Lonchura striata: one gene and its partners. The protein of the gene in region 3 interacts with the protein of the main gene of each other region in a pairwise test. Links are inferred from orthologs where the notes say so. Each region holds a gene or a part of one and is shown on either strand. Other genes may lie near its edges.

The links.
Region 1: the proteins of heterogeneous nuclear ribonucleoprotein C (region 3) and SUMO1 interact in binary tests that used the Homo sapiens proteins (3 or more experiments, as listed by UniProt). The two-hybrid records come from large-scale screens. The link is inferred for Lonchura striata from reciprocal best matches to the Homo sapiens genes HNRNPC and SUMO1.
Region 2: the proteins of heterogeneous nuclear ribonucleoprotein C (region 3) and RBM41 interact in binary tests that used the Homo sapiens proteins (3 or more experiments, as listed by UniProt). The two-hybrid records come from large-scale screens. The link is inferred for Lonchura striata from reciprocal best matches to the Homo sapiens genes HNRNPC and RBM41.
Region 4: the proteins of heterogeneous nuclear ribonucleoprotein C (region 3) and KPNA4 interact in binary tests that used the Homo sapiens proteins (3 or more experiments, as listed by UniProt). The two-hybrid records come from large-scale screens. The link is inferred for Lonchura striata from reciprocal best matches to the Homo sapiens genes HNRNPC and KPNA4.

The regions. Positions count from the first base shown.
Region 1 is NC_134610.1:26,736,500-26,743,863, reverse strand, and holds the start of SUMO1 (small ubiquitin-related modifier 1), read right to left. Parts: upstream 3,019-7,364; 5' UTR 2,910-3,018; coding exon 2,898-2,909; intron 1-2,897. Other genes in the region: NOP58 (nucleolar protein 58), read left to right, coding at 6,847-6,891. UniProt on the Homo sapiens protein: Ubiquitin-like protein that can be covalently attached to proteins as a monomer or a lysine-linked polymer.
Region 2 is NC_134616.1:18,475,895-18,483,713, forward strand, and holds the start of RBM41 (RNA-binding protein 41), read right to left. Parts: upstream 3,019-7,819; 5' UTR 2,228-3,018; coding exon 2,043-2,227; intron 1,943-2,042; coding exon 1,750-1,942; intron 1-1,749. Other genes in the region: nuclear pore glycoprotein p62-like, read right to left, coding at 4,876-4,967, 6,105-6,171, 6,692-6,803, 7,190-7,324, 7,443-7,492. UniProt on the Homo sapiens protein: May bind RNA.
Region 3 is NC_134641.1:1,164,145-1,171,707, forward strand, and holds the start of heterogeneous nuclear ribonucleoprotein C, read right to left. Parts: upstream 3,006-7,563; 5' UTR 2,931-3,005; intron 1-2,930. Other genes in the region: SUPT16H (FACT complex subunit SPT16), read right to left, coding at 5,175-5,284, 6,487-6,564. UniProt on the Homo sapiens protein: Binds pre-mRNA and nucleates the assembly of 40S hnRNP particles. Interacts with poly-U tracts in the 3'-UTR or 5'-UTR of mRNA and modulates the stability and the level of translation of bound mRNA molecules. Single HNRNPC tetramers bind 230-240 nucleotides.
Region 4 is NC_134612.1:25,421,988-25,429,007, reverse strand, and holds the start of KPNA4 (importin subunit alpha-3), read right to left. Parts: upstream 3,009-7,020; 5' UTR 2,921-3,008; coding exon 2,852-2,920; intron 1-2,851. UniProt on the Homo sapiens protein: Functions in nuclear protein import as an adapter protein for nuclear receptor KPNB1. Binds specifically and directly to substrates containing either a simple or bipartite NLS motif.

The DNA of each region.
Region 1 (7,364 bases), on a different chromosome or scaffold from region 3:
AGTGCTCTAGTATTAAAAACAAATAGGGAAAGTGCCCAAGAGTAGAATAAGCAGAGGGAATTGGAGTCTTCAAATCATAAAGATGCTTGTTTAAAGCCCCACAACCTCTCATTCACAAAATAAAGAGGAAAAAAAGCTGTAGTTTCAGGAGAAGAAAAATAATATAAAATCAAATAATAGAAGTGCCAATAATCAAAGCTTAATTTAGGAGCAAAATACTTTACACCAGGATACAAGACCCAGCAAGTCTGAAAATGCTCTCTGCATTTTGTCAGTGAACTATACTGCCATTCAACGCCAGATGGTTAAGGCAACACAAAATTACTTAGAAATAAAGAAACTAAGGAGATTCCAAAGTTGTTACAACTACTAGCATCCATTAACAAAATCCTGGATCAGCAACTAGCAAGGAAGCCTCCAGACTTCTTGCCCTGTGAAAAGAATGGTGCTTTAAAGTACCTCATGAAACAGGACATAAAAAACACCACCATACAAAAGAACAGAAATACCACAGCACTCCAATTTCTAACTTTTCATTAGATGCCTAAGGTTTTAAAGGCTTCATTGCAGTTTTCCTAAAGAGCACAATGTAAGACTCTGTGCACTGTCTCACACTTATATACGGACCCTAAAAAGCACACGAAGTTTCTTGGATGAAACACACTGGTACTGCTATTGCAACTAACAAAAACTAAACATACACAAAACAAACTTGCAATATATTGCAAGTTTCCTCCTCCAATTTTCAGAAGGGATAAAACTTCAATGTCTAACCTTAAAAAAACAAACTATACTCAGCATTTTAAAGGAAAATTGTCAAAACCAAAAGAGGAATAGATGTAGAACACGCTTCATAACAAAGCAAATAAATGCTTACATTTTTTAAGGGAGTGAAAAACATACACACAAACTACAGCATTCTTTATTAACAGATTACATTAATAGATAACATTTAGATTAAAATAATGCAAAAACAGCCTAACACACTTGAAGGGAGGGGGAAACAATTTGTGTTTTGTTTCATTTTTGCTTAGATCCCACCAAGCAACCATGAGGTTTTTTTTAAGTCTGCCCTTCTTTCAAGTATTTTTATTTACCATAAAAGTCAATTTCCCACTGAAAATAAAGTAACCCTTCTTTTATGGGTGATAAATGACACCCCTCTTAACTTAATTCCAGGGCCAAAAAGAACAATACTCTAAGCAATTCACAATTTTAGGTAATCAAGTTATTCTTGTAAGATTGATAAACAGAGGAATGAGATTTACAGTGCTGCATAACCTTACATTATTCTTCTACTTAAGCATCTGTTTAGCTCTTGTTGCACAGTGCTCCAGAAATGAATGACACAACGTCTAACAGTGTTTTGCTTATCTATTAAAAATAAACAGCAGGCTCCTTATTCACAGACCTTTAAGATACATAGCCACAACAGGTTATCACATACATGGAATTTTACATACTTCAAGCAATCTCAAAGACAAAATACGCATGTATTTTAGCAGAACTTGCCTGGGGAAGGATTTGCCTAAGTAATGAAAGCTGCTATTTGCTAAAACATACCTTGGTTCCGATATGCAGACAACTAGAGAGCAGGTCACGTGAACATCTGTCTATAAAATCTAGTTCAGAAATTGTTGGTGAGTTTGTTTGTTTTTTTTTTTAAATGCAGTCACTTTCACGTATTTTGCTACAGGGGCGATGTGTCCTAGGAGGCAGCAATCGCTGTGCTCCCAGCTGCCCCTCTCCCAGGCACAGGCACAGAGAGGCAGCAGCACCATTGTCAGCCGCATTGTGCTGGGAAGTCGGGGGCGGGGAGGAAGACCACCAGCGCACACAGCGCTGGCTTCTTTTCACGGCTCCTACTGCACCAAGGCTACTCCCCAAAGCAGACACGGTATGCACTAAGCTGAGCCTTGTCTCTGGGGACTTTTAATTTCCTGGCTGGCACCAGTACTATTCTTGACTTCACAGCACTACAAGAAACACATGTAGGTACTGACATTATCACGATAGCTACACTTTGGGAAAAATCAAAGATAGAAAACAGTGCCCTATGACGACAATATAAAAAAAATAAAGCAAAACGGAACACAAATTGAAACCGGAACGCCGTTTTAACTTTCCACTAGCAGGACATATAGCCTAAAGCAATAGTTGTAGGCAAAGCACTGTATACATGCCAGGCCGAGCAACCCAGGAACTTGCGGTACAAGCAACTATTCAACTCCCCGGCTCAGAAAACAGAAATGATGTGGGCATAACGAGAATATTATTTGGAGCGAAGGCAGGACAGAGCCTTCATAAAGGACGGGGTGTTTAATACAAGCAAGCAACGCTCAGCTGAGAAACGAGGGGGAGAAAAACAGGCTTTCACATTCCTCGGGCGAACGGAGTACCTGGCAAGCCTAGCCTAACCCTCACAAAGCCCGCTCCGGGGGAAAACCATCCTACCACACACCCGGGAAACGAAAAACGAAAGGAAACAACAGTTGTGCAACACAGCTTATCCCTCGCCGCATTCCCGGGTTTCCAGGGCCGGGGCTGTCCCGGCGGCGATTCGCTTCGTCCGGACACCGCCCCGGCCCCCGTGTATCCCTGCCTGGAGCCCGACCGCGCTCCTCGCGAAACACCCCGAGGAAAGAAGAGAAAAGGATTAAAATGCACGCGGAGAGGGGCCCGAATCGGCCGAGGTCGGAGATCGGCATCCATCCATACACACACACACACTCCTCTCGGAGAACGTTCCCCCCGGCGCCCTCCGGGCGACCGCGACTCTGCCCGCCCCGGGCAGGGCTGCCCCGCGGCGGCGGAGAGTGCGGGCGGGGGGCGGCAGCTCCTCCCGAGCCCCCGGGGCCGCCGCGCCGTTCCCCCGCGGCCGGGACAGCTGCCCGTACCTGGTCAGACATGATTCGGCCCCGTGTCGTGCGGCAGGCTCGGCTGGGCCGCTGCAAGCGCTCCGCTCCTTTCTCTGCCCGCAGCGCAAACACAGGGCCGCGGCACGGGCGGGATTTCCGGTGCGCCTGAGCTCATTTCCCTCCCGGGCCCCGCCTGCGGCCCCGCCCGGCCCTCGCGCGGCACCGGCTCCCGCCGAGGCCGCGGGGGAGGCGAGAGTCGCCGTCGAAAGAAGCGACCAACGTTAAGGGCAGCCCTGGCGACCGGAGCCAGGGTTGCCACAGCTACGGTGACGGGCCTGGAGCATCTCTCTTCATGAGGAGAGACTGCGGAAGCTGGGCCTGTTCAGTCTGGAGGAGATTGTGAGGGGATCTCACGAATGCACAGAAATACCTCCAAGGCGGGTGCCAAGGGGATGGTCCCAGACGCTTCTCAGTGGTGCTCAATGACAGAACGAACAGTAATGGCCATAAACTAAAAGATAATGAGTTCCACCTCACCTTGAGAAAGCGCTTTCTCAGGTTGAGGGTGGCAGAGCACTGGAACAGGCTGCCCAGGGAAGTCATGGAGTCTGCCTCTCTGGAGATATTCAAACCCCTCCTGGTCATGTTCCCGTGTCACCTGCTGCAGGTGACCCTGCGTGGCAGGGCTTGGACTCGATGCTCTCCAGAGATCCCTTCCAATCCTGACAATTATGTGAAGTCACATAACCCTTCCCACAATAGTAGATCTTGGAGCAAAAATCACTTTCATACTGCCTACCTCTAATATCTTGCTGAGGTTGTTATTAAGACAATATGCCATAGCAAAACTCACTTTTGTTTAGAGACAGTGTTTTTTTTGCAACCATGCAAGCAATGGGATCTGCATGTATTAAGCAAATCTGCAGCCAGGCTTGCATTTGAATAAATTTGCAAAGATGTATCATTAGAACAGGTGCCCTGCTTTACATTGGCACAGCATCGCTATTCAGAAGTCTGCACAAGAAATAACATCTACCTAAAAGATTACATTTAGGCTGCAAGCTGTTTGGACTATAGCATGGAGTCCTAACATCCCCTCTACAACTGCTCAGGCAACTCCTGCATGGCATCACTACTGGCATATGCTTAGATCTAAGTGACCACCAGCAAGTAGAAAAAAAACTCCACACATGAGAACCATGAAATAGCATGAATGTAAAATTAATGAATCAACAGAAACTAGCTCAATTGAAAAAATGAGATTATTACCCTTATGCTACTAAACAGAGTTTCAACTTTACCATCTACCTTTGGGAAAGTGCAGAGTACATTCATTAGCTCTGAGCAAGAGGCATTCATTAACATAAACAGGCCAATGCTCTGTGTGCCATATTCCCTTGTAATAACACCAAACACCAAAGCAGCTGATCTCTGTGCCTGCATTTCTGCTTATCAGTGAATGCCAAGCTACAAACAGAGCTACACCAAGAGGTGCACTTTTGCCAGCCAGCAGAACAATCAGTATCTAGACTCATGGGAATTAGTTCTAATCACAACTGTTAAAACAAGTCAGAATTAACAAGGGAGGGAAAAATAAATAAAGAGAACCAAAACAAATGCTATACAGAGCTAGAGAATGAAGATGATCTTTCTTAGACAAGGCCAAGCAGAAAAGCCAAATATGTTCATGCTATGCCAAGCTCACAGTAAGAGCTCATTATGAGCTTAATAATACACACAAAGCACCAAAATAAGCCATGCAAGGGCTCCACAACAACGCACAATACTAGCAAAATGGAAAATGACAAATATTCTATCCTGAACATTACTGCTTTTTATAAATTTTAAATGGGTTTTTAAAAACAGAGCCTTACTGTGCTAAGGCCAAAGTCTCAGACTCTGGCACAAACCCAATTTTTTCAAGTAATCCCATAATAAAAGCTAACACTCATATGAGTTAGAGTGCAGTTATCTATCCACATGCATAGCCATAAAGATACAGGGTTAGAATGTGCTTATCAGCACACACACTAACAGTAGCACCACCTTTCACCACCCTTCTTATTCCATCAATTGTGGATGCACCAGCTCTCCAAGACACAAGCTAGTTTTATACAGGATCTTCAAAGTTAATCTCCACTAAGACTGTGAAAACTGTGGATGCACAGCAGTAAAGCTCTCACTTTTCTTTTTCAATGGCTCAAATTCAACATAGAATTCACTTAAAGAGAAAGTAACAAAAGCTGTTTAAAAAATACCAAATATACTTACACAAGCTTCTTCCCACAAAACCCAAAGCCAGCCTTGCATTTGCACGCACTGCCCATAGTACTTGCCCTAACAACCTCACTGAATTCTCAGGTGTTTTATAATGTCTCTTATTTTCCTACCTGCACTTAACCTCAGTCACCTGATGCCAATAAAGTTCACCTCTGTTGACTGATTTCTCCAAAGCTACTGTATAGGAGCCAATAGCTGCAAGAGGTTTTCTCAAAGCTATTGGCCCACACATACATAGAGTCTGTGCAAAGCTTCAGTCCATCAGAAACAGATTTCTTTAAAAAGGAGACTTTAACCTATAAACAATTTGTAATCTCATAATACCAATTTGCTTGCCTGATAGCAGTTAGTGCTAGCCAACAGGATGAATGTAGTATTCTAGGGCAACCAGCTAAGTTAACAGTAGCTCTTACATAATAAGAGTACTCTGCCAGCAGGGCCAGAAATAGTACTTTAAAACTAGGTAGAACCTGGAAATTCTCTACCTCCTTGAACCTAATTTCTTTGGCAATATTACTGGTTGTGGGATTTTAAGAAAATTGGTTATGTGATGTAAAGTACCAAAGTCTTTCCTTTGAATAAAAAAATCTTCAGAAATATTAAAGTCCACAGATTTCTCTCACTGTGGACTTTCCAGCGTACTCCTGGAAACAAAGGCATGCTGACTCATACAGATGGTTGCATAAAACGCAGCAATGACTGTCTGATATAAATCAAAAGCGTTTCTTGGAGCCTCTCTACCTGCGGGCAGGAAAATCTCTGCCTGTTTTCAGTACAGCTAACCCTGCGTATGAAATAAGCGGGGATTTCTAAGGGCAAGGAGCGGCGCTTTCCGCCCGCCTCCCACCGGCACGCAGCTGCTCGGCTCCCCAGCAGGGCCGCGGCACAGAAGGTCAGCCAGGCGCCGCGCTGTGCACGCCCGGGCTGTGCCAAGGACAAAGCACGAGGTGGCACCAGAGTAGGAGGAGGCTCAAGTGGCCGCCCCAGCGCCCCGGGCCGTGCCTTCCCGCAGACGGAGCTGCCCGTGCCCCGGGGAGAGCCGAGCAGCGCGGGGAAACACGCAGCGTTCGAAACGCGTTTTATACGAGCAATTTGGTGCTTGTCTGTTGGCGAAGCCAAGCTTTTAAATACTCGCAATCGCACTGTGTCAACAATTCTTTACGCAAAGGAAATGCTTTCGGTGCGATGAGCTGCAGGTCAGGCCACGGGAGCGAGAGCGGAGTGGGCAGAGAACGCAACCCGCCACGTGCAGAGGGCCGGGAGCGCCGCTGAACCCCGACACCGCGGCCGGTGCGGCTCGGGGTCGCCGAGAGGACCACCCGCTGACCCCTGCTTCGGGGTCCGTTCGGGAAACAAAGTCTCTAGCACGGCCCCTCGCGTCCCGGGGAACACACCCGCTTCCTATCAACGGTGGCCGACCCTGCCGCCAACTGCGGCACCCGGGGAAGCGAGGACAGCTCGGGTGAGGTGCCAGAAGGGCACACCGGCGGCGCCCCAGCTCCCGCGTGTTTGTGCGTCAGGAGACTCGAACCCGCGGCGGGGGCGGCCCCGCCACGTGGCTGGCGGGCGGAAGGCGACCCGCCGCTTCCGCTCCCCGCGCGCTCTCGCTTCCGCTGCCGCCGCCGCTTCCCGTTCCGGTTCCGCCGCGCGGCGCGCGCGTGCTTGAGCGCGGTCGGTGGCGGCGGCGCACGCGGCGCCCGCCGCAGCCATGCTGGTGCTGTTCGAGACCGCCGCCGGCTACGCCATCTTCAAGGTGAGCCGCGGGGCCGCGCTGCCGCTCGCACGGAGGGTCGCGGCCGCCGACCTGCGGCGGAGCAGAAGGGAGGGCGAAGGGGAGCGCGTCGGGCCTGCGGAGGGAATAACGGGGAAACACGGTGGGGGGTGAGGGTGAGGGAGAGGGAGGGAGTGGGGGTGAGGGAGGGAGTGAGGGAGGGAGTGAGGGCTCCCGCATCCCGTGCGGCCCCTCGCGGGGCGAGCAGGGCCGAGGGTGGGAGCAGAGGCCCCGGGGCAGGGGCAAGCTGCTCGGCGGGCAGAAGGGGAGTTACTCGGTGCCTGCCAAGAGGCATCTCTGGCGCTCCCTTCCTCCCCTGTGCCGGGCGGGATTTGGTAGGAAGTGATGCTCTCTGTGCGCTTTCTGTTCCGCGTGGCGGGCGGTGCCGTCTCCCGGCCGTGCGGGGCCCTGCGCTGGGCCTGCCGGCTTCTCGTGTCCCGACCTCGCTCTCCCAG
Region 2 (7,819 bases), on a different chromosome or scaffold from region 3:
TGAGGACTAAACCCCAACCAGCATCACTGAGCCAGCTTCCAGAAACCACAGAGGAGCTGCAGCACAGCCCCCGCAGCTCAGCTGTGAGCAAGGAGCATCCCTGGGTACACAAACCTCCCTGCACCAACACTTCATGCTGCCAAAGCACACAGACACAGCCCAGCTGCTGAAAGGGCACTTCTGCTCCCCCATCCACCTCCATCAGGACACAGAACACACTTTGATGGGGCTGTGGGTGGATTTTCTGTTCTCAAATTGAGTTTGAGAATTCCTGTGGCAGATCCTTCTGCCTCAGGCAAGAAACAAGGCTTTCTCCCTGCACTGAGCACAGCCTAACAGAGTTTCCCATGGTACCTCTGCCCCACATCTGCACAGCTTCTTCCATTCACCATTTCACAGCTTCCCTGAGGCACAAAAGGCTGTTTATACGGAAAAGCAATTCCCGGAAATCATTTGTTGTACTTTGTTTTCAAAAAAGCTGCCACTTAGCAGCTGAAAATAACAGAAATCCGCACTCAGTACTTTGCCAAGAGCTCCCCAGGCAATCTGAAGTTCTCTCTGTTTCAGCTGACATTATTCATCACTCATGATGGAATCTTTCACTCAGGGCCTCCACCTCCAAAGCTGCATAGGCTTTGACTGACTTAGGCTTTCTCCCTAAATATTTTTCTCTTATATTCTTCTCTTCTGTTATAAATATGTCTTCTTCTGTAGAAGACATACCCTGATGTCAGCCTTATTTTCTGTCAGAGTAGTGTTTTCCATACAAGTAATTATTCCTGAACATCCCAGAATACATTTCATACTAAATATAACAGCTAGTACTGACGACATTGATTTTCATTCTTAAATTAACACCACTCCTCTCTGCACCAAGCTTTAATCAGGCCACACCACGGTTGGATTTCCATTTAAATACCAAAGCAAGGAATGATTTCAGCTGAAAAGAGGCAAAGCACTGATGACCACAGACAACTCTCCACAGACAACTCTCCTGCACACAGCTATCACTCAGGAACAGGAGACAAAAGGAAGCCAAGGATCAGCCCAACTCCTGTTTTGCATTTTCTAGTTTGGCAGATTAAGAGCAGGACACTCCAATGCACCTGATACAGACAACCACAAAAGCCTCTTGACTCTGGAATGTGAAAAAAAAGGGTGAAAGTGGGGGAAGGGGAGAAACCTGCTGGAAGAGCATCCAAGGAGGCACCAAGGCACTGCCACCACACAGTGGTGGTGGCACAGACCACACAGTGGTCTGACAGCTCTGCACTATTTTCATGTGGCTGTCCCAGAGCCCCTGAAGGACATGCAAGCCCCTAAGGAGAACACCCCCTACAAACAGCCATCCCAAATCAGCAATGGGATCCAGGGATTTATCAGGATACTCAAAGGAGGATTTGAGATGCTTTGAAATATTTTCTCCTTCTCTTCTGGCCTTTAAATCCTTCATACACAGGTATAAAGAGGTGAAATGATTTATTTGAGATCAAGGCAAAGGCAGGAATACCCTCACATCCTGCTGTGTTCCAAAGGACCCACTCCTGTCTCCACCATATCTTTTAACATTGACCATTCCACCAAAGAAAAGAGGCCAGAAGAAATGTAGGATAGTGCTGGGCTAAAGGCAAGGGATACAAGGAGAGGCCATTCTTTACCAAAGGCTTACAAAGGACTGGAATTTTCTACCAGAGAGCCACGGGGTTAGAGGAACCTGACCACGCTCAGGTGAGAGCAGAGCATGCCCACCTTCCTTGCCGAGTCCCGGTTCTTCCAGAGCAGGATCTCCGAGTCGGAGAGCCCCAGCTCCCGGAGAGACGAGGTTTCTCTGTCACTCTCCTGCAGGGCCTGGAACTGTGGCAGGGTCAAAGCCCCCGCAGCCTCTTCTCCGAAAGGTTTGTAAAAAGCTGCAGGAGCAAAGCATCTCCGTTTTGACTTGCACCTGTGAGCCAAAGGAACACGCCAGCACAGACAGCTCAGCACTGAGGAACTGGGGACAGCAAGGGGCTGCTCAGACCACACCTGGGCCAGACCACACTTACTGCTCGATGGAGACAGTGGTGTCAAGCTGCTGGTGAAGGAGGCTCTTCAGCTGCCTCTCTCCTTCTGTCTCCAAGTCTTCCAGGAGAAGCTCATCACTGGACAGGCTGCTGTTCACCCTGGGGCACACAACCACAGCACAGGCATGGGCAGTCAGGCAATAGAGGAAACACTGCTCAAAACACATCCTTGCTACAGCTCCTCCACCTCTTGCGCTGGTTTTATGGGATTTTAAAAAAACAAGAAACCAAAACTACTTGACCACAGCTCCCTTTAACATTACTAGAAAAGTCAACAAATTTGGGATTCCTTGGAGAACATAAAAGTACCCCAAGGAGCCTCTGGGTGTTTTTATATTGGTGTGGGGGTTGTTTGTTTACTTTAAAATCACACGCCATAATTTTTATTGACCGAAATCGTCTTGCATCAGCATCTAGCCAGTGTGAAAAACACCCATTATTTGGTTTTTAAAATTTTAAGTGTTTAATAATAATAAAATGGTTATAAAAATAGTAACACAATTAGAGAAATAAAGTTTAGAGTTAGGACCATAACAAAACAATATAAAGCAAAGAATTATGGATGCTCTTGGACACTTAAGTCACAAAAAGCATACTTTGTGAACAAAGGAATAACCTTAAATGCAATAGCCTGTTGCATATTCATATATATCCTACATGATGCATAAATTCCTTGCAAATTAAGAACTTTTCTGTTTTTTGTCAACTTCTTCCCCTTAATCCCGGTGGTTCCATAAAGATGGAGAGAAGGTGGAAGACTGTCTTTTCTGATAAGGAGGCAGTAGCTCTTCATGGGCCCCAAGTCACTGTCACCTCTGTGTGAAGAGCTTTTTGATTACCTCATGTCTTGCTTGAGCTAGTAAAAAAATCCTACATCACAGATTTCTATTTCAACATTATGTTGTAACCTAAAACTATATTTAACAGAGTCCTTAAGAGAATTAATACACCATAACTTTCTAACATTATACATATAACATTAATTTGCGAAAAGCCAATCATAAAACACGCATTTTCCACAGCAGACACTGCCAGCTCCAAATGAGACAGGGAGGAAAGTGAAACCGCGACGCCGAGGAGAAACGGTGAATTCCAGCAGCGCTTTTCCCTTTCCGGGGTCCGTGCTGCGCGGAGCAGCCAGACCCCAGATCCTCCACCGCAGGCGCTCCCGCACCGCCGCAGCGGGGCCGGGCCGCCCCGCTCCTGCCCCGCTCACCGGCGCATGGCCCCGCCGCTCCGCACGCCGGGCCCCGGCAGCGCCCGCCGGGAGCCGCCCCGGGAGGAGCCGAGCCGAGCCGAGCCGAGCCGAGCCGAGCCGAGCCGAGCCGAGCGCTGCCCGCAGCGCTGCCCCGCCCGGCAGAGCCGCACGGTGTGCCCGGCGCCCCGGGGACAGCCGCTCCCCTCCGCGGCCGAACGCACGACACTTAGCGCAGAATTCGCGGCTTGAGACACGGACCGGAAGGGATCTCGCGTCGAGTGTCGTCACGGGCAAAGGGCTTAAGGCGGAGATGGGAACGGAGTTTTTTGATAACTGAAGCACAGCGGGGTAATGGGAAGTAAAATCAGCCCTTAGAAACACCTTCGCCTACCCGTCCCTCGTACCCCAGCAGCGCAGGGAGACGGGAATGGGGCTATGGTCAGTTCATACGGAGATGGGGGTTATGGTCAGTTCATAGAGACACAGGAACGGGGGTTATGGTCAGTTCAAAGGGAGACAGGAATTGGGGTTATGGTCAGTTCAAAGGGAGACAGGAATTGGGGTTATGGTCAGTTCAAAGGGAGACAGGAATCAGGGTTATGGTCAGTTCATAGGGAGATGGGAACGGGGGTCATGAGCAGTTCATAGAGACACAGGAATGGGGCTTATTATCAGTTCATAGAGAGATGGGAATGGGGGTTATGGTCAGTTTGTCACCCCTGGTTTTCCTGGTGCTCAGGGACAGCAGTATTTCCCCTGCTGCACTGTGGGGTCCTCCCCATGGGAGACAGTTCTCTGAACTTCTCTGATGTGAGAAGTCCATCCCATGGGCAACAGCCCCCTCAGACTGCTGCAGTGTGGGGCACTCTGCCACAGAGTCCTTCCAGGACAGGCTGCTCCAGCCTGGGAGCAGGGCACCTCAGCCACAGGCTCAGCCTCCTGTCAGGCATGCCCCTGCTCTGGCATGGGGCTCCTCCATGGGCTGCAGGAGCACAGCTGCTTCACCATGGTCCTCACCACAGGCTGCAGAGCAATCTCAGCCCCAGCACCTGGAACACCTTTTTCCCTCCCTCCTTCACTAACCTTGGTGTCTGCAGAGCTGTTCCCCTCACAGATTTTCACCCCTCTCTTCTCTGGCTGCAATTACAACTGAGCATCAAATTTGTATTTATTTCTTCTTAAAAAGCTGTTTCACAGAGTCATTACCACCATATCTAACTGGCCCAGCCCTGGCCAGCAACTCTGTCCATCATTTGGAGCCACCAGGGACTGGCCCTGCTGGACATGGTGGAAGCTTCTGGAGCTTCTCACATAAGCCACCTCTGCAGCCTCCTCCTGCAAAAGCACGCAGGAGTCCTCCAAGACAGCATTTCTGTTACCTCACCAGTCTGCAGGCACAGCTAAAGCACAAGGAGTACACACTTCCTGCAGACTTCATCCAGTTTCTGATAGGAGCACGTGAAATCCAGTCCAACACCACAAAGACTGGCTTTGAACAAACAGCACATTTTATTGTAAAAAAAGAAATAAAACCAGGTCATTGTTTCAGTCCTCAGCTCCCAAACACCTCTGTTTTCTGTGGAGGTTTTATGTTCATCCTTTGAACTTGGGAATGTCTCAATCAAAGGTGATCCGAAAGCTGCGCTCCTGCTCCTTGCGGCGACTCTCACAAACCTTGGTCACCTCTTCCACCTTCCTCTGTAGCACAGCTGTGGCAGAAACAAGGGATTAAATGTCACAGTCACCCCAGAACACAACCCTGCACAGTTTTGCCTGCAGAAAGAAAAATAATTCCTTGCTGACAGTCACTCAGATTTGTCAGTGGATAAAGCAGGAGGAAAACACAACCCAAAGTACTACCAATAAGACAATGTTTTCGTTATTTAATGGCAAAAGAAAAAATTTGTCTCCTTTCTAGGAAAGTTTAAAGCAAACAGATAGCTATTTTTACACACATTATGTAAATTCAGGTTGCACAGGAGCTGTACCAGATTTGCTGAAAAAGGCATGTTTAGAATGGGAAGCTTAGCAGGAGTGTTCTGAAAGAAAACACCGAATTAGACCCTGACCTAAGCCAACATGAAGAAGAGCAGGTCTGCTTTCACGCAAGTTGTTACCCCAGGTGTGAGCATTTCACAGCACTGTAACTAGGCTCTGGGGCTCTGAGAGGAGAGCTGCTTTATTCTGCCGTGCCCCCGTGTGGCTGCTACCAGTTAAAATCCAAACGGCACAAAATTCCAGAATCCCTCACCAGGAGGCACTCTTCCAGAGGGAAAACTTCCTTTTTTCTGTCTTGTTTTAGTATGACTCCACTGTCAAGTGCCTATTCCTGAGTGCATCTCTGTGTGCAATGGAACTCAAGCTTTGGAGGTTGTGAAATTCCCATACTATTCCTGCAGTTACCCCACCTGCAGATCAAGGCAGGCTGCTCCATCTTATCTGGATGTGACTTCCTGTTTTCAGACTGGGAGGGATAGTAACACTCAACACACACACATTTCCCTCACCAATTTTCCTGCACCACAGAGAAACCACACAATCTTTAGAAGCTGAACTATTTAACATTAGTTTGACAGAATGAATAAGGTTTTCAAGTTCTCTGCTTTGTACTGACGCAATTCAAGGAGGGCTTTCTGGGTAAAAATACCAGTTGTCAGGAGTAACTTCCCAGCAGAGGCCTCTCATCAGGCACAGCAGCAGAATTCAAGCAGATGTCAGAAGGGACAATGCCACTGAAGGCTGAGGAGGAAGATTCCTCAGGCATCCTCAGGAATTCAGGGATGAACACTCACACACAGCTCCTGCTTCCCACTCACACTGCCAAAAGGCTGCAGGACAAATCTCACCTGAATTCTGGTCAATCCACTGCAGGGAATCCATGTGTGCATTCAGAATTTTACAGATCTGCTGAAGCTGAGCAGAGAGAGAAGGTGCAAGTTAGTTGCGAGACGGCATAAACACCAGGAGGAGTCAAAGGCAAAGTTATGCCTTTCCCAAGAGAGCAGCCACTTAAGCCAGGGAAGTGTGTGCAGCAACACTGCTACTTGGCTATTCCATAGCAGCAAGAAAACTGAACAGTTTAGATAACATGTCTGTGACTTTGGCTTATCTTAATTTAAGACCTAGGAACCAGCAGAATATTCATAACCTTAGGCTTAAGGTGGCAAAATTCAAAATGAATGTGGGTAAACTCAGTCTAAAATACTAAAAGGAAATTTTTGCAGAAAAAAGCTTCTGGGCAAAGCCCTAAGGAGCATCAAAATCAATTTAAAAGATATCAGGAGCTGGTTATACAGATCTTGTTTTATGAGGATATAAAAATAGTATGAAGAAAAAGTATAAGTGGAATATCCACATGGGGACAAATTAAGAGTTAGAATTATTTCAATATCATTTGCCTCTTCAGCAACATAAAATAAAAGCTTGCATTTACCGGGTCACTCGAGTCTGCTGGGCCTCCTGATGTATTCAAGTGATCAATAATGTCCTTCAGATCTTGTGCCATGCGCTTCAGCTGAGCATCGATGTTTTCAGCCAGTTTGTAGCTGCAGAGCACACAGGAACCAAGATCAGAATGGTCAAAGCCAACTTGGAGGGCCTGCTCACAGTCACACCAGCTGTGGGCCATCAGCATCAGCTGCCACAGCTGCAGCCCAGGCTGGCAGAGACTGGGAGCTGCACCCAGGGAGGCTCCAGCACCCACATGAGGGGACTCCCAAGCTCTGTCTCCCTTGAGCTACACATGGAGACAGACCAGCAAGAGAGTGGAGGACTCTGAGTAAAATCTAAAGTTGCCGTGCATAAACCAGGAATAAATATCTGACGGTAGGCACTGATTGTTAATCCTGACACCCATCCCAGCTCCACTCCTGCTGAGGGCTGTGGGCACAGGCCAGTGCTCGGCCCCCATCCCCACAGGTTTGTGCCTCACGTCCTCTCCCGTTCCTCATCTGCGTGCTGCAGGTAGATGGTCCCGCTCTGCTCCTTCACAGACTCCTCCAGAGGGGACAGCAAGTCCTCCAGCTCCTTCTGCTGGGACAGAATGAAGTCCAGTTCCTGATCCAGTCTGCAAAGAGAGCCAAATGCTTCCCGTTCACGCTGCAGACTCTGCAGAGCTGTCACACAGCCAGGCAGGCCCATGCAGAGAAGAAATAAAATCATTTCAAGTGCTCCAGGTCTCCTACCTCTTCTGGTCAACCTTCACCTTCTCCACTTCTCTGTGTAAAGAAGTAATCTGCAAACAGAAGACATTCCATGGCACCTTAAAAACCAAGAAGGCAGCTCTCCAAAGAAGGGAGGTGTGAGGGAGAGAGCACAGCATGCAAGTTCTACTGCAAACAAGGGATGGCCACATAAAGATTTACAGAGCCAAGATGGAATAAGGGAGGTTCAGCTTGGAATGATCCCCCCTAAGAGAACTCGGTATCACAGAGCAAAGGCACAGAACAGATCTCCAACTCCAAGGCCTAAGGGCCAGAAGTGACACACAGAGAGGCTGTGAAAAGCACCCAGCTGGAGCTCACATCTATTTCACAAGCAGCAAGTCCCACTGAATGGCTTG
Region 3 (7,563 bases):
TGGAGAATTTGGGGGGTTTGTCCCCGAATTTTGAGGGTTTATTCCCAAATTTGGAGAGAAATGGAAATTTTGAGGGGTTTGTCCCCAGATTTGGGGAGAAATGGAGAATTTGGGGGGTTTGTCCCTGAATTTGGGGAGAAATGGAGAATTTGGGGGGTTTTTCCCCGAATTTGGGGAGAAATGGAGAATTTGGGGGGTTTGTCCCCGAATTTGGGGAGAAATGGAGAATTTGGGGGGTTTGTCCCTGAATTTTGGGGGTTTGTCCCCAAATTTGGAGAGAAATGGAGATTTTGGGGGGTTTGTCCCCGAATTTGGGGAGAAATGGAGAATTTGGGGGTTTTTCCCTGAATTTAAGAGAGAAACTCTGAATCCGAAGGGTTTCTCCCCAATTTTAGGGGTTTGTCCCTGAATTTGGGGAGAAACTGAGAATTTGGGGGGTTTGTTCCTGAATTTGGGGGATTTGTCCCCAAAAGTGGGAAATTTGTCCCTGAATTTGGGGAGAAATGGAGAATTCGGAGAGTTTTCCCCTGAATTTGGGGAAAATGGGGAACTTGAGGGGTTTGACCCCAAATTTCGGGATTTTGCCCCTGAATTTAGGCAGAAACAGAAAATGTAGGGGTTTTGTCCCCAAATTTGGGGGATTTGTCCCCAAATTTGGTTTGTTTCTCCCTGAATTTGTGGGTTTTCCCCCAAATTTGGGGATTTTGCCCCTGAATTTAGGCAGAAACAGAAAATGTAGGGGTTTTGTCCCCAAATTTGGGGGGTTTCTCCCTGAATTTGTAGGTTTTCCCCCAAATTTGGGGATTTTGCCCCCGAATTTTGGGGTTTTTGGCAAAATTCGGGTTTAACTCCCCGAATTCCCCTCCGCCCTCCCAAAGCCCCAGATTTGGGGCCAAAAGGGGAAATTTGGGACTTTGGAGCTTTAATTAAGGCAGGAGGGGGGAAGGGGGAGGGAAATTTGAGGGGGAATGGGGGAATTTGGGGGCTGGCCCCAAAATCTGGGGGAAATCCCCTGAAAATCGAGATTTTGGGGGAGAAAATGGAGGAAATGAGATGGGAGCTCCTGGAGCCAGGAGAGAACGCGGGAATTTGGGATTTAGCCCCAAAAACACTCCTGGACCTGATCAAAAACCTCCAAAATGTACCTGGAACTGATCAAAAACTCCTAAAAACCTCCAAAACCACCAGGAACTGATCAAAACCCCCTAAAAACCCCAAAAGCCACCTGGAAATGATCAGAAACCCCTAAAAACCCCCAAAACCACCAGGAACTGATCAAAAACCCCTAAAAACCACCTGAAACCAACCAAAAACCCCTAAAAACCCCCAAAAATCCTGGAAATGATCAGAAACTCAAAAATAAACCCAAAAACCATCTGGAACCACCCAAAACCCACCTGGAACCACCCCAGAAATTTCCAAAAACCACTAAAAATCACCAAAAACCCTGAAAAATCCCCAAACACCGCCCGGGACTTCGCAGGTGGGGAAGAGGCAAAAACTGAACCTGAAAAGGTCCCAAAATTGGGGGGAAAAGGGAAAAACGGAACCTGAGCTCCCAAAATTGGGGGGAAAAGGGAAAAACGGAACCTGAGCTCCCAAAATTGGGGGGAAAAGGGAAAAACGGAACCTGAGCTCCCAAAATTGGGGGGAAAAGGGAAAAACGGAACCTGAGCTCCCGAAATTGGGGGGAAAAGGGAAAAATGGAACCTGAGCTCCTGAAATTGGGGGGAAAAGGGAAAAACGGAACCTGAGCTCCCAAAATTGGGGGGAAAAGGGAAAAACGGAACCTGAGCTCCCAAAATTGGGGTGGAAAGGGAAAAACGGAACCTGAGCTCCCGAAATTGGGGGGAAAAGGGAAAAACGGAACCTGAGCTCCTGAAATTGGGGGGAAAAGGGAAAAACGGAACCTGAGCTCCCGAAATTGGGGGGAAAAGGGAAAAACGGAACCTGAGCTCCCGAAATTGGGGGGAAAAGGGAAAAATGGAACCTGAGCTCCTGAAATTGGGGGGAAAAGGGAAAAACGGAACCTGAGCTCCCAAAATTGGGGGGAAAAGGGAAATCTGGGAATTCCTGCCCCCCGCCGTTAATTAAACCTTGGAGGGGATTAATTAAAGCTTCTGGGGGGGTTTAATTAAAGGATTTGGGGGGGTTTAATTAAAACTTCTGGGGGGTTTAATGAAAGCTCCCAAAGCCAGGCTTGGCCACGCCCACCTCGGAATTGGCCCCGCCCCCAAATGTAGCCCCGCCCCTCGCTGCTTTATTAACCCTTAATTAGCATTAATTAGCCCCTTAACGATTAGCCACGCCCCCTGGGTTAATTATGCAAACGAAGGCCTCCAAGGGGAGTGAATTAGGCCCAGCCTGGCGCGCAAGGGGTTAATTAATTAATTAATTAATTAAGCCGAGGGTGTTAATCAGGGCTAAGCCACGCCCCCACCCCCGCGGGGTCAGCCCCGCCCCCGCAGGGGCTGATTAATTTATTAATTACCTCGGGGAGCCGAACCCCGCCCCCGCAGGGCTTAATTAAACACGGAGCGCCCTAATTAATTAATTAATTACCTCGGGGAGCCAACCCCGCCCCCGCAGGGGTTAATTAAACCCGGAGCGCGCTCGTTAATTAACTGGGGAGCCAAACCCCGCCCCCGGCGGGGTCAATCCCGGCCCTGAAGGGGTTAATTACCCCCCCAGCCGAGTCATTAGTTAATTACGCTGAGCAATTAGTTCAGGAGGGCGCGGCCCCGCCCCCAGGCCCCGCCCCCCCGGCCCTGAGCCCCCCCCCCCCCCCCATTTCCCGCCTCGCTCCCTCACGCGCCGCCGCCATTTGCACCCCCCAAACCTCCCCCGCGCCCCCGGGCGGGTCCTCCCGCCCGCGGAGCCTCCCGCAGCCCCCCGGGACCCTCCCGGAGCCGCCCCCGCTGCCCCCTCACCGCTCCGGGCACCGCTGCGCTGCCGCCGCCGCCGCCGCCGCTTCCTCCGGGGGCCGAGCGCAAAATGGCGCCCGCGCCGCCCTCAGCGCCGCCAGCGCCGCCGGGCCCGCCCACGCCGCCCGTTGCCGCGCGGCGATTGGCTGAGACGGCTGTCAATCCAGCGCCGAGCCAATGGCAGCGCGCGGAGCGGCGCTGCGCGGGAAGGGGGAGGAGAGACGGCGGGGGGCTCGGGGGGTGGTTTCGATCGCGCTGATTGGCCGAGCGCGCTGCCAGTTATTCCGCTATACCAATCGGAGTCCGGCGCACAGCGGAGGGCCCGCCCCCCGAGGCGCGCGGGGAGGTGGGCGCATGCGCAGCCGGCCGCCGTTGGATCAGCGGGAGGGCGGGGCGAAGGGCTCGGTGCGGGCTCTGATTGGGCGAAGCGAGACGTGGGAGGTTGGTGATTGGACAGCGGCGCTGTCAGTCAGGCGGAGGGGGCGCGGCCCAGTTCGCGCTGGTTTTGGGGCCTTTTAAACTGGTTTGGGGTGATTTAAACTGGTTTAGGGAAATTAAAACTAGTTTGGGGTGATTTTAACCGGTTTGGGGTCATTTAAACCGGTCTGGGCCCATTTTAAACTGGTTTTTCCCAATCCCGACACCTTTCTCCCCATTTTTCTCAAGTTTTCCAATTTTGTCCTCATTTTTTCCATCTTCCCCCCATTCTTTCCCACTTCTGCCCAATTTTCCCCAGATTTTCTCAATTTCCCCCATTTTTCACATTTCCCCTCCATTTTTTTCCCAGTTTTCCCCAATTTCCCCAATTTTTCCCAATTTCCCCCTATTTTTTCCCAATTTTGCCCAATTCCCCCATTTCCCCCCCCACTTTCCCCCTTTTCCCCCATTTTTCCAATTTTCCCCAATTCCTTTCCGAATTTCCTCCCTCATTTCCCCCAATTTCCCCCCAGTTTTCCCAATTTTCCCCTATTTTTCCCAATTCTCCCACTTTCCCACCATTTTCCCACCATTTTTTCCCAATTTCCCCCATTTTGCCCCATTTTCCCCCCTTTTCTCCCCATTTTTCGCATTTTTTCCCCGTTTTTCCCAATTCCCCCCATTTTGCCAAATTCCCCTCGATTTTTTCCAATTTTTCTCAATTTCCCCCCAATTTTCCCCAGTTTTTTTCTTATTTTCCCCATTTTCCCAATTCCCCCCGGTTTTGCCCCATTTTTCCCCTTTTTCTCCCATTTTCCCAATTTCTTCCCATTTCTCCTCAATTCCCTCCATTTTGCCCAATTCCCCGCGATATTTTACATTTTTTCCAATTCCCCCATTTTTCCCAATTTCCCCCTTTTTCTCCTTTTCCCACTTTTTTCCCCATTTTTCCCAATTTACTCCCCATTTTTTCCCAATTCCCATTTTTGCCCAATTTTCCCCTTTTTTTTTCTCATTTCCCCCCATTTTTCTCATTTTCCCCACCATTTTTCCCAATTTCCCCCATTTTTGCCCCATTTTTCCCCCTTTTGCCCCATTTTCCCAATTTTTTTTCCATTTTTCCCCAATTTCCCCCATTTTTCCCCAATTTTTTTTCCAATTCCCCCCATTTTTCTCAATTTTTCCACCATTTTTCCCAATTTCCCCCGTTTTTGCCCCATTTTTCCCCATTTCCCCCGTTTTCGCCCCATTTTTCCCAATTTCCCCCGTTTTCGCCCCGTTTCCGCCCTGGCGCGCAGGAATTCCCGTTTTGGTTAGAAAACCTTAAAAAAACGAAATTTTTATTGAATTTTTGGAAAAGAGCCGCGGGGGGGGGAGGGGGCCCGAACCCGGGGGGGAAAAACCCCAAAAAGGGGGAAAATCCCCCCAAAATGGGGGGACCCCCATAAATACAGAAACCGGGGGAAAAAACACGGATTTTGGGAAAATCGGGGAAATCCGGGGGTTTTCGGCACCGATTTCCGGTGGGAAAATCTCGGGGAATCTCCCCAAAAACCCCGCGGGGAGAAAAAAAAAAAAAAACAAAATCCCCGAATTTTCACCCAAACAACAAAACTAAAAAAAATTCCAAAAAAAACCCCCAAAAACGGGCGGGGCCCCAAAATCCGCGGGAATCGCCCCAAAATTCCAGAGGGGGGGGGAAAATGGGAAAAAAAACAACAAAAAGGGGAAAAAAGGTGAAAAAAAACGGGGAAAAACGGGGAAAAAAGGGGCGGGACGGGGGCGAAAAGGCCCGGGCGGTTTTGGGGTGAAAAGCGGCGATTTTGGGTCCCGTCACTTCCGCTTCTTCTTGGGGGGGTGGGGCCGGCCCCGGCCGGGGGGGCCCTTGCGCTTCCGGCCCCGCCCCCGCTCCTCCTCCTCCTCGTATTGGCTCTCGCGGTCGGCTGGGCGCCGTTTGGGGCGAAAAACGGCGATTTTGGGCAAAACGGGGATTTGGGAAAAAGGGGGGTTGGGGGGGAAAGGGGGATTGGGGGGGGAAATGGGGATTTTGGGTAAATGGGGAATTGGGGGTGAAAAATGGGGGTTTTGAGAAAAAGGGGGATTGGGGGGGAAATAGGGGTTTGGGGTGAAAAATGGGGATTTTGGGCAAAACGGGGATTTGGGGAAAAAGGGGGATTGGGGGTAAAGGGGGATTGGGGGGGAAAATGGGGATTTTGGGTAAATGGGGAATTGGGGGTGAAAAATGGGGGTTTTGGGAAAAAGGGGGTTTGGGGGGGAAGTGGGGATTGGGGTGAAAAACGGCGATTTTGGGCAAAACGGCGATTTGGGGAAAAAGGGGGATTGGGGGGGAAAATGGGGATTTTGGGTAAAGGGGGAATTGGGGGTGAAAAATGGGGATTTTGGGTAAATGGGGAATTGGGGTGAAAAATGGGGATTTTGGGAAAAAGGGGGATTGGGGAAAATGGGGAATTAGGGTGGAAAATGGGCGTTTTGGGAAAAAGGGGGTTGGGGGGGAAAATGGGGGTTTGGGGTGAAAAATGGGGATTTTGGGCAAAAGGGGATTTTGGGGGGTAAAGGGGGTTTGGGGGGGAAAATGGGGATTTTGGGTAAATGCGGAATTGGGGGTGAAAAATGGCGGTTTTGGGAAAAAGGGGGATTGGGGGGAAATGGGGGTTTGGGGTGAAAAACGGGGATTTTGGTCAAAGGGGAATTGGGGGAGAAAACAGGGATTTTGGGAAAAAGGGGTTGAGGGGATTTGGGATTTTGGGGTGAATTCCGGGGGTTTTGGGGTGATTTAAGGGGTTTTTGGGGTGAATTCCGGGGGTTTTGGGGTGAATTTGGGGATTTTGGATTTTGGGATGAATTCCGGGGATTTTGGATTTTGGGGTGATTTAAGGGGTTTTTGGGGTGAATTCTGGGGGTTTCGGGGTTGAATTCGGGGATTTTGGGTTTTGGGGTGATTTAAGGGGTTTTTGGGGTGAATTCTGGGGGTTTCGGGGTTGAATTCGGGGATTTTGGGTTTTGGGGTGAATTCCGGGGGTTTTGGGGTGATTTAAGGGGTTTTTGGGGTGAATTCCGGGGGTTTTGGGGTTGAATTTGGGGATTTTGGGTTTTGGGGTGAATTCCGGGGGTTTTGGGGCCGCACCTTTCCGCGCCTCCTCCTCCAGCTCGTCCCAGTCCTTGCCGCTCTCCTCCTCGCTGCCCAGGGAGTCCTTGGAGTACTCTGGGCAAATCGGGGCGAAAAACGGAGAAATCGGGAAAAACGGGAAAAAACGAGAAAATTGGGAAAAAAACCCCAGGAAAAAAGGGGAAAAATGGGGTAAAAAATGGGGAAATTGGGAAAAACAGGAGAAAAAGGGGAAAATTGGGAAAAAAACACAGGAAAGTCGGGAAAAAAAGGGGAAAAATGGGGTAAAAAATGGGGAAATTGGGTAAAAAAACAGGAAAATTGGGAAAAAAACCCAGGAAAAAAGGGGAAAAATGGGGTAAAAAATGGGGAAATTGGGGAAAAAAACATGAAAATTGGGAAAAAAACCCCAGGAAAATAGGGAAAAAAGGGGGAAGATGGGGAAATTGGGAAAAAAGGGGCAAACAACAGGAAAATCGAGAAAAAAGGGGGGAAATGGGACAAAAATGGGAAAATTGGGGAAAAAGGGGAAAAATGGGCAAAAACAGGGAAATCGAGAAAAAAGGGGCAAAAAACGGGAAAATTGGGGGGAAAAAAACCAGGAAAATTGGGGAAAAAAGGGGCAAAAAATGGAGAAATAGGGAAAACTGGGAAAAAAAGGGGTAAAAAATGAGAAAATTGGGAAAAACGCCCAGGAAAATCGGGAAAAAAGGGGAAAAATGGGGCAAAAAATGGAGAAATCTGGGAAAAAAAGGGGCAAAAAAAGGGAAATTCGGGAATAAAGGGGAAAAATGAGGCAAAAAATGGAGAAATTGGGAAAAAAAGGGGCAAGAAAAAGGGACATTCGGGAAAAAAGGGGAAAAATGAGGGAAAAACGCAGGAAATCGGGAAAATTGGGGAAAACATTTTTTTTCCCCCGCCAGGTGTGCTCAGGTGAGCCCAAACCCCCCAAAAAATCCCCACTTTCAACCCAAATTTCCCCATTTTTAACCCAAATTTCCCCATTTCTAACCTGAATTTCCCCGTTTTTTCCCCGTTTTTCCCCCCAGGTGTGTCCAGGTGTGCCCAGGTGTGCCCAGGTGCGCCCAGGTGAGC
Region 4 (7,020 bases), on a different chromosome or scaffold from region 3:
AAAGTCACTTTACCCTGCTCCTTAATGGATCAGTATTTGCATAATTTAATATGAGTCCAGATAAGCCCTTCTTCAATTCAGACTCTGGGGTTGGAGGTTAAAACTGTGGCCACACTTCTGCAGTTTTTAAGGTTCCTCTTTGTGCTGAACCAATTTTATTTATCCCCCACAGCTCTAAAATCTTGAGGACCCTAAAAAAATGTTGCAAGCACTGACCAGAAATCTTAAATTCCCCCCAGAGATGCTGCCTCAGCTCCAAATTACTGCTCCCCCACTATTAAAAACTTTATTACGTGTATTCCTTTGAGCAGGAGCAGAAACCAGGGAGAGGACAAGGAATTCTTGGGGATTTCTGGTCCCAGTGAATCCCTGAATTCCCAGTGTCACCACCAATCTGTCATCCCCAAACACATGGCAGCAATTATTTACAACATGCCCGTGCAGGAAATGTTTACCCAAGACTTCAGCATTGAAGGAATTTTGTCAAACACCTTATGTAAAACAGGTGCTTCTGCTGGGCTTTGCTTTTTTTTTTTTTTTTTCCTCTTTTTTCCAGGCCAGAATTTGTATTTTTAGGAGCATATTGGGGAAAAGAAAACAAATAACTGGAGTAGCCAAAAAGGTGAAAAATGTTTGGTACTTTAAGGGATAAAATGTAGGAAATTCCCTGGTTTTGGTCAGAAATAGAAGAACTTCCAGTGAATATGTAAAACCTGGAAGGCAAGGGCAGTGTGACAGGAACTGTAACTGTCAATGGACTGATCTGAGCACATGGAATTAAGAGATAACATTTTTAGGAAGTTTGCAATTCACAACATGGCAACCTTTCATAACCTCTCCAGTTGGCATTCACCAAAATTCGGGCGATTTCTCATTTCTCTAGGGGTAAACTGTAATGGAAAATTAAAAAAAACCCCGATAGTTTTGTAAAAACAACCCAGGGCCAATTTCAGCGCAGATAAAAAAGGGGGAGGAGTGAAGGAGATAAAGATCAAATGTTGGTTTCCTCTGCCAAATAAATACACAAATTTCTGCCCAAACAGCCCTGCAAGCCGGATTTTGGAGGTTGGGTGGGAGTGGGCAGCAGCAATTCCCTCAGCCTGATGCCCAGTGTGATGTGTAAGCAGTTGATGAGCAGCAGGGACAGCCAGAAGCCTGAGCTATTGTATGAAAAATAGCCCTGCACCGTGGTTATTTTAGGGAGCAGGCATGTGCTCCAGGATTTGCTGGATAAATGTCACTCTCTAAAATTTAACACGACCCAGCAGTGGGTTTGGGCTGTGGAAAAAGGCGTTTCAGTGCTGCAGCAAATTAAAAAAAAAAAAAAAAAAAAAAGATTGAAGAGCTTGCCTGCCTTCTGACACACTCCCACGTGGTGTTACCTGCGTGTCCATCTTGAACCTTCCCTACTTCAGCCCTTTCCCGTTGAAATTCTGCACCAAGGCACCTGAATTCCAGCCTGTGTCTACTCATGAATCCCATTTTTCACTGTAATGGAACATTCTGTGTGCATTCCTAAAGATGCCTTCCTGTAGCTGCCTATTCAGTGGTAACAAAATTGATATAAAAATAAATTAGTATCTAAGGCGAGGGGTTGCCAACCAACCTCACAACACTGTTAGCAAGCAGAGCAATTAATTATCCCCACTCACAATATTTTTGCCAAAAGTTTGGGCATAACTGAGTAATAAAATGTTCTATCAATCTAAGTGGGCAGGTTAAAAATCCAGGTGTTACAGACTCCTGGGAAACTGACGTTTAAATCAATACAGGGAATATAAAGGAGTTTTCACTTTTGAAACATTGTAATGTCTTCATATATAAGAGTAGAATATTATGGAAAACACAAGGGACACTTTGAAACTAGCAAAAGACAGCCACGAGGAATGCCAAGATTCTTGTCCACAACCCTGAACAGACAATTTTAACCTCCAACCAGCACTCCTGGCCGAGTGTTTAAAGGCGAGGATTGATACCTAGCTTTAAAATTTGCTTATTTCCTAAGGAAACCCCAAGTTAATTACTTATCCTGCTGTGTTTAGGAAGCACCTACAGAGCTCGAATAATTGAACCACCAAAAAGTTCAGCGTTCAGGGGCTACAAGGCAGAACGGCTTGAGCAGAAAAGAGAAATACAAAAAAAAAAAAAAAGAGAATTTAAAAAATAAGAGTTTTTTTAAAAAAATAATCTTGCTATGAAAGTTACGGCGTTATTTATTTAATTAGGTATCCTGGAAACACGCAGCAGAGTAGGGCCCTAATACTGACTCAGGCTTTTAGGAGCTGCTGGGAGAAGAATTGTTCCAGCAGCGATTCCGCCGAGCCCACCCCGGAGCGGGGCCGCTGGGGCAGGGCCGGGCCGGGCCCCGAGCCCCGGCGGGCGCAGCCGCCCGGGAGGAGCCGCGGGGCCGGAGCGGGGCCGGAGCCGGGAGCGGGGCCGGAGCCAGCTCGGAGCGGGGCCGGAGCGGGGCCGGAGCGGGGCCGGAGCCGGCTCGGAGCGGGGCCGGAGCGGGGCCGGGAGCGGGGCCGGGAGCGGGGCCGGGAGCGGGGCCGGGAGCGGGGCCGGGAGCGGGGCCGGAGCCGGCTCGGAGCGGGCTCGGAGCGGGCCCGGAGCGGGCTCGGAGCCGGCCCGGAGCCGGCCGGGAGCGGGGCCGGGAGCGGGGCCGGGAGCGGGGCCGGAGCGGGCCCGGAGCCGGCCCGGGCGGGCGCGGCCGCTGCCCCTCGCCGGGAGCCCGCGGGCCCGGCCGCGCCCGGCCCTCAGCGCGGCCTCGGCGGCTCCTTCCTCCCTCCCTCCCTCCCTCCCTCCCTCGCCGCTGCCGCCTCCCCGCGGCTCAGGGCCCCGCCGCGCTCACCTCCAGGTCGCGGCCTTTGTTCTTGAAGTTCTTGAGGCGCTGGTTGTCCAGCTTCTCGCTGTCGGCCATGGCGGGGGGCGGCCAGGGAGGAGCGCGGCCCCTCCGCCTCCGCCCGGGCCCGTAGCGCGCCGGGGGCCCGGCGGGCCCGCAGTCGGCCTCAGCGAGCCGGGAAGGGCCGGGTGGCGGGGCGGGGTGGCGGGGCCGGCGGCGGGGCCGGCGCGGGGCGGGAGCGCGGCCCGGGGCCGGGCGGTTGGAGCGGGCCGGGCCGGGGCCGGTGCCGGCGGCCCGATCGCGCCGGTGCCGCCGAGCGGGGGAAGGGACGGGGCGAGCGGGGGGGGAGAAGGGGGAGCCTCGCTCTGGGCGCCGCCGCCCATTGGCTGCGCCGCGCGCGCCCCGCGGCCAATGGCGGCGGGCGGGGAGAGGGCGGGAGCGGTGACGCAGCGCGGGCAGGGGGAGGAAGGAGGAGCCGCCTCAGCGCCGCCGCCATCTTGGGCGCTGAGGGCTGAGGGCAGGGCTGGGGCGGGACGGGCGCGCCCCGCGCCTGCGCTGCTGCCGGGAGCGGACCAAAATTTATCTTTTAATCCTTTTCCCAACGGCGCTTGCATTTCGCTCCCCTCGTGGAGCCGGCTGTTTAAACATTCCGCTCGCTAGGCTTGGCGTTCACTCCCCTCATGGAGCCGAGAATTGGCGCTCTCCTCGCCACACTTTACATTCACTCCCCTCACAGAGCCCAAAGTTAATAGTTTAATCCTTCCCCTCGCTAAAGTTTGCATTTGCCCCCATCATGGAGTCAAAAATCGAGTTTAATCCTTCCCCTCACTAAAATTTGCGTCTGCCCCCATCATGGAATCAAAAATCGAGTTTAATCCTTCCCCTCGCTAAAATTTGCGTCTGCCCCCATCATGGAGTCAAAATTCGAGTTTAATCCTTCCCCTCGCTAAAATTTGCGTCTGCCCCCATCATGGAGTCAAGAAATCAAGTTTAATCCTTCCCCTCGCTAAAGTTTGCATTTGCCCCCATCATGGAGTCAAAAATCGAGTTTAATCCTTCCCCTCGCTAAAATTTGTGTCTGCCCCCATCATGGAGTCAAAAAATCAAGTTTAATCCTTCCCCTCATTACACTTTGCATTTATTTGCATCATGAAGACAAAAATTACACCTCAATCTTCACTCTCTTTACACTTTCGTTTGCCTAGAGTAATCCCCCTTCCTCCCAGTCTTCCAGAATTTTAGCAAAAAAAAAAAAAAAAAAAAAAAAAAGAAAAAAGAGAAACAGTATTAAAAACAATAGAGAGAAACACTTGCGGAGCAGAGGGGATGGTAATTTTGTTCCTACTTCTGAAATTCTACCTGGAAAATAATGCCTGTGTACCATAACTAGAAGAATTCTGTGGAGTATGTGTGTGTGTATATATATATATATATATATATATAATATATGTATGTATATATATATATATGTACTGCCCTGACCCTGCATATAGTCTCTACTTATTTTTAATGATTGAAAATGAGCCCTGTAAAGTCTTCCATGTTGACAGAGCTCATTATAATTTTCCATGACACTTGTTGAGAAAAATCAAAGTTATGACAGGGGATGTTTTTCCCAAGTGTGAAAATGAAGTCACCGAGTCCCTCGGAGACTGAGGAGTATCAGGAAAGATAATTTGATTTAGCTCCTGAGGAAAACAATGGTTTTTCAGACTATGTGTGTTTTATCCCTGGACATTTCCCAGAGGACGAGGCTTGGATCTAGATATTTCTCCAAAAAAACCCCAAAAGTCACAGAGGCTGAGTCACCGCAGCCCCGTCTGTTGCACAAATGTGGCAGCGATGTCACAGCAATATGAGGAGGGTAAATTAGTCGGGGCTAATTAATGCTGGTGCTATTCCATGGAGGCATGGCTTGTCTCAGAGGATATAAAACATTTTCTCCAAGAGTGGTGTAGGACAGCAACCCTTTCACATCCCAGTCTGGATGGACAAAAATGACATTTTCTTGATACAGCTATTTACTTTTTAAAATGTAATGCGGATTTGCCACGTGGTAATGTTGTAAAAGAATACATAGAGATAAAATTTTAAAAAATAGTATCTTTATTTAGTGCTCTGTTTCATTTACAGAAAGAAGAGAGAGCTCGGATTGTTCAGCCCAGAGACGAGAAGGCTCTAGGGAGAATTTAGAGCCCCTTCCAGAGCTTAAAGAGGATCCAGGAGAGCTGGAGAAGGACTTTGGAGAAGGGATGGGGGACAGGACACAGGGAATGGCTTTGAACTGAGAGGGCATAGGTTTAGATTAGATATTAGGCAGAAATTCTATGATGAATAATGAAACTGGACTCTGGTGTGAACTATGTGTTCCATTCCTGCCCAGTGCTCAGAACTTGTCCGAATATGATGGTAAAAAAATCCCCCCTGTGTAAGACACAGCCTGGAATTTTATGAACAAAACCCTTTTATTCCATCGGTGCCCTTTCCATCACCACCTTTTCCATGTTTTTGTTACCCCAGACGTGCCCATCCCACCCCTGGTGTGGGAAGGATGGAATGGGAAAGGCAGCACATCCTGGCTTAAATTTTCCTTTAAAAAAGCATACAATTTTCCTATTAAATTCTAGTCCTGGAGAATCTTCCTCCAAATCCAGCCCAAAAATCATCTTGCTGTACTTTGCTGCTTTTATTATATATATAGATTAGTAAAAATATGTAAAATATATTACATTTTTAAACTTATATTAGTATTTACTAATATTTATTAGTTAAAATATGTAAAAATATAAAATTTATTTACTAACACCCCATTTCCTTTCTGTGTAACTCCATATAATGATAGCCAAAACAAACTTTGCTCTTGCTAAGTTATGAAGGAAGACAATCCTCTGGTGGTCTTTTGATCTGATATCATCCAAGGAATAATTTATATTGTGATTTCATTGTAGACATCAGAGATTAATCAAGTGCATTTTGTGTAACTGTAATCTAATTAAACTGCTTGGCTTTCAGAGGAATAATTTCTGTTTGATTTTACCTCAGGATCACAGTACAAAAACACTCAGAAGACCAATTTCAAACCCTTGATCCAGTGTCACTGGGCTGTCTTTTAAAAAAACCCCAAACAATTGGATATTTTGATTCTAAATCAGTTTTTTTTACTAAATCAGGTTTTTTTTTTACAGTTTTTTTTTTACTGTAGCTGCCTACAACATAATAAATTATGCATAAAACACAAATTCTCATGGTATGGTGCTGTTCAGAACTTCATGTGATGCTACAGAACAAAGCTCTGCTTCTTTAATATTTTTTGCATATTTTTTAGCTTGGAAAATAATAATGCAAATATCAAGGTGGGAATTAGGATCTGCTCACCTTCCTATCCTTCAAGCAACAGATAGATTTGTTTTACAAAGGGTTCACATTTTCTTTACAATTCACAGTTTGTGAATTTTGAACCTCATTATGCAATTAGAAAATGTTTAATTCTCAGCTTATCTTAAACACCTCTTTTGAGGAATAATGTGAATTGATCTGAATGCTGTTCCTAATATATTAGTAAAAACATATATAAAATAGATAAAATTTATTTATTAACTGTACACTTAGGTGAAAGGAGCTCCTGCAAATGGCTTTTCATAGCCCTATCTCCCTCCTGTAAGAAACAAAATGTCATGTAAAGCTGCAAAGATTTGTGTTGCACACAGAAAAACACCCATTAATCCTGGGGTTTAGCCAAATGGAATAGCTGCTATTAACAAAGAAGCAGCCCGCTGCTGGGAGGATATTTTATAATAATCTTTCAGCTGCTGTGCTGACTTTTGCAAGAGACAGGTTGGAAGGAGGTTTTTGATGGGAGTTGGCTGACGTGCTTTGGATGAGAGGAATAATCAAAGATTTGACCCACAGACACCTGGACAGCTCTGCTGTCTTCCTTCATAACTTAGCAAGAGCAAAGCTTGTTTTGGATATTATTATATGGAGTTACACAGAAAAGAAACGGGGTGTTAGTAAATAAATTTTATATTTTTAACATATTTTTAACTAATGAATATTAGTAAATACTAATATAAGTTTAAAAATGTAATATATTTTACATATTTTTACATATTTTTACTAATCTCTATATATAATAAAAGCAGCAAAGTGCAGCAGTGTTTGCTCCCTTGTGGAGGAAC